Nothobranchius furzeri: one gene and its partner. The protein of the gene in region 2 interacts with the protein of the main gene of each other region in a biochemical or structural test. Links are inferred from orthologs where the notes say so. Each region holds a gene or a part of one and is shown on either strand. Other genes may lie near its edges.

Evidence for each region.
Region 1: the proteins of rufy1 (region 2) and rab4a form a complex in vitro, tested with the Homo sapiens proteins (2 studies listed by BioGRID). The link is inferred for Nothobranchius furzeri from reciprocal best matches to the Homo sapiens genes RUFY1 and RAB4A.

Annotation. Positions count from the first base shown.
Region 1 is NC_091749.1:34,752,630-34,757,188, reverse strand, and holds rab4a (ras-related protein Rab-4A), read right to left. Parts: upstream 3,033-4,559; 5' UTR 2,897-3,032; coding exon 2,881-2,896; intron 2,222-2,880; coding exon 2,141-2,221; intron 1,731-2,140; coding exon 1,616-1,730; intron 1,442-1,615; coding exon 1,379-1,441; intron 1,301-1,378; coding exon 1,146-1,300; intron 1,031-1,145; coding exon 935-1,030; intron 849-934; coding exon 733-848; 3' UTR 705-732; intron 532-704; exon of another isoform or gene 512-531; 3' UTR 71-511; downstream 1-70. Other genes in the region: phf10 (PHD finger protein 10), read left to right, coding at 3,553-3,624, 4,525-4,559. UniProt on the Homo sapiens protein: The small GTPases Rab are key regulators of intracellular membrane trafficking, from the formation of transport vesicles to their fusion with membranes.
Region 2 is NC_091741.1:103,293,827-103,298,259, reverse strand, and holds the start of rufy1 (RUN and FYVE domain-containing protein 1), read right to left. Parts: upstream 2,997-4,433; 5' UTR 2,766-2,996; coding exon 2,447-2,765; intron 1-2,446. UniProt on the Homo sapiens protein: Activating adapter involved in cargo sorting from early/recycling endosomes. Regulates retrieval of proteins from endosomes to the trans-Golgi network through interaction with the dynein-dynactin complex.

The DNA of each region.
Region 1 (4,559 bases), on a different chromosome or scaffold from region 2:
GGTATGAGAATTTTGTGGATTTGTTGGCATGCTGAGGTTCGCCTTGGTGCATTAAGAGTCAAGCCAGAGCAGGAAGCCTTCATGTTTTAATGTAGGTAAGCAGGTTTGGCTCCATCAAAATCCCTAAAATCCACCCGTCAATATCCTAAATGTTAAAATGATCCTGTTAAATTATGTGTAATCCAAACTCAAATGTAGATACTTCCCGTGAGTCTGGAAAACAAACAGGAACAACTATTACAGAAGTAGTAATAATAATAATAATGCAGGCTAGGGTTAGGCATCCTGGTCAGGGACAATGTGGTCCAGTAGAGCCAGAGACGGATGAGTTTGTGGTTACCATGGAGATTCAAGTTCTTGTGAAGTTGGGCGTAGGTCTTCTCGGCTCTCTGCTCATGCACACGTGATAACAAAGGCTCTGAAGGGTCCGTGCAAAGGTCAGGGAGGGGTCACCAGCACAGCAACCTGAACCCAACACTGTCTGGTCCTCCATGGTCCTTCTTCTTCTTCTCTTCAAAAAAAAAAAAAACCCTGTCATTACATAAAGAAATTTAAAGCAACATAATAAAAAAGCAAATACTTTTCAATAAAAGATGCAACTTTTGATGTTTCTGTTATGTAACAAAAACATCACGTCAGAGATGTTGCTGAGACCATCGAGCACGGCTCTAAACCATCCAACGCTTCACATTTTTTTCCTGTACCTTGACTGCGTGAGATGCACGAGGCCCCTTAGCAGCCACACTCCTGTGTGCCCTGTGGCTGAGCGCGGCGAGGAGAACGAAGCTGTCGTAACGCGGCGTCGCCATACTGGATACCTGACCCCATCCTTTCTGGGTCCAATTCTCCTAAAACCCGAGATATGATCAGTGAACAGATGAGCACCTAAAGGGGATCTGGAATAGCTTTTTAGGGTTATTAAGCAAGCTCCTACCTGATTCTATCTTGTTGAGGATCTTCCGAGCGCACTGGACAAAAGCCTCTTCAACGTTCTCCCCCGTGAGAGCGCTGGTCTCCAGGAACATCAGCTCTAACAGACATGTTTTGATTAGAGCAGAAGCAACTGACAGTTCTTTGTAGAAAAAAACAATCAGTGTGTGGCTCGAAAAAGGCAAAGAAACAGAGGCGCTTCTGGTGGATCTCACCGTTCTCCTGAGCGAAGCGCGACGCCTCCAGGAACGTGACCTCCCTGTCAGCATCCAGGTCCTTCTTGTTGCCGCAGAGGATGATGACAATGTTTTGACTGGCTAACATCCTGGCATCGCTCAGCCACGTGGTCAGAGCGTTGTACGTTTCACGACTGCAGCCGGCGACAGACACGGATTAAAGTCTGGAGCACAGTTAGAAAACCAACAACTAAAGCCGAGTTCTGTGATACCTGGTGATGTCGTAGACAAGCAGGGCCCCCGCTGCGCCTCTGTAGTAGCTCCTGGTCACAGACCTGAGACACACACAGTTTCCGTAGAGCTAAATTTGCCACCAGCAATGCACAAACGAGACAAAAATGCTACATACTTCACTTAAGATATCAGCAATTCAAAAAAAGGTTAATTTTGTACAGAAGTTGTTATAAAAATGAAATACCACATGTAGTAATGATGGGATTTTGCCCTACCTAAAGCGTTCTTGTCCTGCTGTGTCCCAGATCTGCAGTTTGACTGTTTTGTTGACCACACTGATGATCTTAGAGCCAAACTCCACTCCGATCGTGTGGTTGGATTCATCTTTAACTGGAAACAATAAATGGATAGATGAAAAAAATGGATGTATAAATCAGGATTAGAAACAAAACTAGAGAATTATTCTGTACAAGTGTCAAATGTGTGAGATTTATTCTAAATGTTCAGAAATGTAACAGACATTTAAGTACTGTTATGCAATGTTAGTCACTTTACACGAGCAGACCTGTTGTACAGTATGTGTGCGTGAGTGAGTGTGTAGTCCGCCTAATGCAAATTAAATCTAAATTTAGAAATCAAAACCACTGTTCCATACAAACTACACCAACACTAAATAAAACACAGCCAATGTGGATTTTTCTCAAAACAATAAATGATCAACCTGAATAATTAGCCAGGCATTTAGATGATCAATCACAAAAAAAAAAATGTGAAAGAAGTGGAAATAATAGAGAACTTACATCTTTTCTCTATGAACTGGTGCAGCAGACAGGATTTTCCTGTCCCAGCATTCCCAATTACCAGGAATTTAAACAGGAAATCTACAAGGGGAACAATACAATCATTTAATAGACATAAGCTCAGCTTGACCCTCTTAATGTGGCATTCATAGGCACTAGCTCATCTTAATCCTAATCTTATTTGAATCAAGATTATTTTATAACTGAGATATAAACCAGCTGATATATATTACACATGAATACCTGATGGTTTGTTTATAAAGGCAGGGACACCTGCTTACTAACCACAGGTTTGTTCATTGTGTTTATGGTGTAAACAACTCATTTTGTATGCTGCAATAATATTTTACTGTGAGATTTAGAATGATCCAAATGTAAAATATACACATAAAGAGAGCATTAAATGGTTATTTATTTAAAAAGTTGAACAGTTCAGCCTCAAATTTATGCCAGCCCTGTCCTCCTCTTTACCCCTACCTGGTATCTAGCGGTTCTTCTGATTAGAATCCCAAAAGCTCCGTTACATTCAGTGTGAAAAGCTACATCAAACCCAGATGTATGATCTGAGTTGACTGACAGCTCTGCTTTAAGGCCAGAAGCCTTGAGTGGTGAAACGGTTAGCCTGTCGGCTATCTTTTTGCGATGAGAAAACGCCTTCTGGGCACACCTGCCTCGTCTTTACCACTGACTACCAGAAGGCACCCGTTAACTGTTGCCTCGGTTTAAAGCAGACTCCTTACCGTAAGACTCCGACATCGCCAATGTGGCGGTTTGATTCCAAAAGCAAAATGAAGGGAGGAATAAAAGTTGACAGATGCACAGCTAGCTCAGTAAAGGAATACACCAGTGATAATTTCCGTGCATTCCAGCTGATTTTTCCTTCCGACTTCCCGTAGGTTCTTCCTTTCAAAGTAAAAGTCCTTCCATGACCGACACTGTGATGCACTATATAGTTTTCGCCTCACTATGGAGCTGTTATTAAGTCTCCAGAAACGTTAAAATCATGATTTATTATAGATGTAAAAAATAATCACAAATAAGAAACATCCACATTGTAATAATTAGTGACCAGATATATTACTTATTATTGTTGTCAACTTGAAGGATTATACGTGCAAGTATTGACCAGTAGGCGGCAGTAGTGGTCACTGTGATTGGCTGACTGCAGCTAGACAACTATTTTAAAAATTGTTCTGCTGTGATAACCTTGCGTTAAAGGACCAAAACCGATTTCACATGATTTTAATACATGATCGGAATATTTGGTATTTAAAAGTAAAACGTTTTTCACCTCTATCACCGATCCAGGCCAGGAGAGTTCGCTTTCTAAACCGAAGGCTTTACCATAGAAGAAGAAACGCAGACTCAAGCTAGTGAACTAGCCTAGCTGCGGAACATTATTTTGTCGAAATATGGCTACTGTGCTCCCCATTAGACCACCTTGCGATAGTAATCCTGCCACCCCAGGAGCGCAATCTTTAAAGGTGACATTCACACTCCTTAAACTGCTTCATGCTTCAGCCTGTGTCCACGAATGACCCCGTTAGCCGTATTAGCGTCCATTCTTTGTTTTCATGTGTGCTCAGTTTATTCAATTTACCTTTCAGTTGTTGAAAAGTCGCCTGTGTAATTTGACTCGTATAAAAACGAAACGTAACCTCAAAATGCATTATTTGCTAATTTCTCTATTTTAAGTTCTACTTTTATTTTATATCTAATGAAACTTATACTTGTTTTTCCTAAAATAACACGTTTTGTACACGTGAGTTGTTTACAGGTAATGAATTATTATATCACTCATAAATCATGTTTTGCAGTGGCTCATTTAAAATAAAAAATGTATGAAGTAACCCTGAACTGGCAAACAACACACGAGTCTTTTAATCCTACCTTGTCAGGGAAATGGTCTTGTCTAATATGTACAGTAGTTTCTATAAACTTTCATTTTTTAGAAGTGATGCTCAAGCCAGAGGGTTTGAACCCTATTATTCTAGAGGTTAATGCCTCTAAAGTTGATGATGCAGCTGTATTGCATTTCAGGTTTTGGTTGCCCTCCATTCATTTTCACTGATTTGGGTACAGAGGAAACACTCAAGTCTTTTGTAAACAACTACTTTCATGGTCCTTTGTCAGGTTTTTCCAGGATAGATTTATATTTCTTAAGCACTGTGACTTTCAGGAATAGTTTACCTGATGTATACATCTCTTGAAACCTGACAATTTTTTAAATATTTAATCACCTCTTATTCTGCTGTTACATGACTGGGCAGAAAATGTGTAAAAAGCAGCAAAAGTTGAAATAAATTAGAACTTTTGATAAAGATAAAAACATTCAGCATGTTTTTTTTTTTTATTTTAATGAAGAGCTTTTTTCCTGTTTTTAGGAGGATGTAATAGAGGAAGTGTCCAATGATGGCAG
Region 2 (4,433 bases):
CCCGATGGGGATCGACATACAAGATGCTTGAGCGGTTTATCAGCCAGCAGCAGGCAGTCTGTGCCACACTGGCTGCAGAAAGAGGAGCTATGCATCTGATGCCCAAGGACACTGACATAGTTGTCATGGAGCAAGTCTGCCAGCTCCTTGAACCACCGAGCAAGTTTACAGATGCACTTTACTCAGAGACACGAGTAACTTTATCAGCCATTAAGCCAGTCCTTGACCACATCACTGGTGATGTCCTGGAGGAAAATGAAGAGGAGCCAGCCCTGACCAAGCAGACGAAACGGGCAATGAGAGAATACCTACACAACCGGTACACAGAGAGAGCAAAAGATGTCATGCAGATGGCTTGTTTCATTGACCCCAGGTTCAAGAATAACTTCTTAGATGCCCCTGTGGATGATGTAGTTGACCGCTGTTTTCAGGAGGCCTTGAAGCTGACCCCTGTACGTCACGCAGGAACCACAAAGCACCAGCAGTAACTCTACAGCAGCAGCAGGAGGGAAAGGCCTTGCTGAGTTACTAAAAAAGATTACCTCAACAAGGCAGCAGCGATCTGAAGAGGGTTCAGGTCCAGCCACCCCAGAAGATAAAGTGAAGGAGGAAGTCAAAGTCTACATGTCTCTGCCATCCATTCTAGCTGATGATGATCCACTGGTGTGGTGGAGGGGCCATGCATCAGAGCTGCCTCATCTTACCAGGCAGGCAAAAAAGCTTTTGTGTATTCCAGCAACTAGTGTTCCATCAGAGGGAATATTCAGTGCCAGCGGGTATATTCTTTCCTCTCTTAGATCACATCTTAAACCAGACAAGGTTAATATGTTGACATTTTTGCATTTCAACCTGAAATAAATGGTCATGCTTGCTGACAGTCATGATGCTGGATGAAGCATCTTATTTGTTGATGATGAAGAGAAATATACAATTACTTCCTAGCCATTGACTTGTTTACTTTTTTTCAATGCCATTTATACTTGAACATTTGGATTTGATTACATAGTGTAGTAGTTATTTTAGTAATTTGTTTAAAGTGGCTATTTATTTTAAACACATATTTTTTTAAGGTTGACTTGTACAGTGCTCACGTCAAGTGTGGACTGGAGTTTTAGGCCTAGTCTACACGTAGCCAGGGTTTTTTAAAAACGAATATCCGCCCCTCCAAAAACTTGCATCCACACCACCACGTTTTAAAAAAAAAAACTCTGTCCACACGTACCCGGATAAATATGTTGTTTAGGACATGCCAGACCTGTAGGCGGCAGTACCTCCCCCGTTCTTAACCTCATCCTTCGTCTGTGGTCTTCCGCAAGGAGCAGTAATTCCGCTTGCAATAACAAACAAGCAAAAAGCACTTGGACAATTGATAAAGCGAGTGCAGCTCTGAAGGCTTCCATGCTGTTGGCTAGTGTAAACACAGGTCGCACACGTGACGTCATCATTTTTTTGTCGTGGAGAGTGACGTTGCAGACCTTAAAACTCCGGTTTTGTCTGTCCACACGCAGACACCCAAAACGGAGAAAACGCAGATCTTCACTTTGGCCGGAGTTTTTATAAAGATCCGTTTTCGTGTGGATGACAGGCCAAAACGTAGAAAAATATCTACGTTTTGGCAGATCCCGGCTACGTGTGGACAGGGCCTTAGATTCTTATTTTGATAATGAAGAAAACAAGCATATGAGAAGACAAGTGGTGTTTCTTTGATTTGTTTACATATTGTTTATGTTTTGAATGTTTGGATTTGTATAATTTAAACCTGCACTGACTACTGTAACATGTTCCAGAAAAATAAGCTATTTGTTCCTTTACTTGTGAAAAGTTGCACTTTTGCTAAGGCTTTGTGTTATTTTAGCTTTAATAAACACTGTTAAACCTTTTCAAAGCTATTTCAGTTTGTGTAGAACAGGACTATCAATGCTTTCTGAACATATGCAACACTGTTTAAAAAATACCGCAATCACACCGAAAACCGTGATAATTTTGGTCACATCAACCATGAGGTTAAATTTTCACACCGTGACAACCCTAATACACTATATATATATATATATATATATATATATATATATATATATATATACATACACACATGTATATATATATATATATATACATACACACATGTATATATATGTGTATATACACATGTATACGTGTATATATACACATATACGTGTATATATAAACATATACATGTGTATATACACGCATCTATGTATATATACACACATCTGTGTGTGTGTATATATATATATATATATATATATATATATATATATATATACGCACACACACACACACAAACACACACACACACACACACACACACACACACACCTATGTATGTGTCATGTTTTTAGACAGCTGACTATAGTGCAAGAGGAAGTAACTGCTCACTGAAACTTAGTTTAGTCGGATCTCATTGTTATTTAAAGAGTCATACCCGTATGGTTTAAAGATGAGTGGTTCAGGTAGTTTTCGGACCCTTTCTTCGATGGAGAACCTGTAGCGGACCCCTGAGATGATTTTCTAGGGGCAGTAGCGTAGCTCATCCCACTGCTAATCGTCTCCGTGGCCTTCCTAGCCAGAGACAAGATAGGAGCTGACCAGCTGCTCTCCTCCGCAGACGGAGTCGTGTTCTCGCCAGAGTTCCCACCGTTGCTGCCGTGAGCCGCCGGACCTGAAACTTCAGCCCCATCTAAGTGTTGGTTTTCTTCGTGGTCCTCAACAGCTGTGTTTATCACCAATATTTCGTCAGCCATGTTTGACTCCGCCTCCCTTTTCGAACATGAACTCGAGTGACCAGTCCTCCTGCCGTACACAGGCTTGTTCGAGATGAGCAGCGCCTCGCCTGCAGGCGCTATTTGCCGGACAGGGCGCAAAATTTCAGAATATTAAAACGTTAATCTAATGTATGCATGTATTGTTTAAGAACAACTAAACGAAACGAATAAACTCTCTCACTCCACTTCCCCAACAAACACACACCGCCTCCTTCAACCTTCTTCCTCTTTTGTCGTTTAATTGGTGGGTGGCAACCAACTCTCAGGTGCATGTCCGCCACCTACTGAATGGGAGTGTGAGTTGAAGTGGGGAGTATCCTACAAAAAAAAAACTAAATTCTATTAAGTATTCCACTTTTCCTTAAAAGTCTGTGACTAACTTATAAACCACTAGTCCCCATTTAACAGAATATTCAAATCATATTTCTTATATCCTTTAACTTTTAATTTTTCAACTAACATTTTCCTATTCCCCACATATTTTCTACAAGTACATAATGCATGTTCTACTGTTTCCCTATCACGTCCACATTCACACATACCGGTATTATGCCGTCCAAGAATAAAAAGCGTACTGTTCAAAGCTGTATGTCCCATTCTCATCCTTGTTATCACTGCTTGATTTCTGTTACTCATTGGAATGACTTCCATTCTTCCAACCTTTCCCTTTAATTTGTATAAATGTCTTCCTTTCACATCCCTTATCCATTGTTCTTGCCATTCATCCAGAATCTGCTGTCTAATAACTGATTTCACCTCTGCAACACTATATAGAACCTCCATCATAGTATCCAGTTTTCTTGCCTGCTTTGCATGATAATCAGCCTTTTCATTACCCTCTACTCCACTGTGGGCTGGAACCCACATAAATCTAACCTCTGAATTAGTCTTCATCAACCTAAACAAGCACTCAAATATCTCATACAAAATATCTGACCTCTTATCAGCTGACATTTCTTTAATTGATAACAATACAGACATGGAGTCCGAGCAAATAATACTATTCCCAACACCATTTTGTTCTATCCACTGGAAACTAAATGAAATGGCTAACATTTCCACTGTATATACTGACAGATTATTAGATGTTCAACTTTTATGATATATACCTAATTTTGGAATCCAGAAAGAAAATCCCGTTATATTTCCTGACTCTCTCGACCCGTCAGTATAAATAGGGATGAATGCTTGATGTGTCATTTAACCTTTCTTCCACAACATCATCCCAGTTTCCCACACCTTTCCGTATTTTAATTTCATTTTGAATATGAAAATCTATTATTACTTTTGGAAATAACCAAAACGGAGTAGGCGAATATAGACATTTCTTAATAACAACTTTATCATTTAATTTAAAGGCTTCCGCCAATTTATACGATTTCCAGACCATACTCTCATACTTGCCATACAAACATTGCCCTCCTACTTTCATCTCTCCCGTAACCATATGCTCATCCTCTTCACTACCTTGAACACTAGCCCAATAATTTAATTTCAGTAACTTAAGAGTCAATGGCATCTCTCCCATTTCCACTTGTAAGACACTATCGGTGTGGTTTTCATTGCTCCACAACAAATTCTCAAAGCCTGACTTTGAATAACTTCAATCTTCTTCAGGAATGTTTTACCTGCGGAACTATATACAAT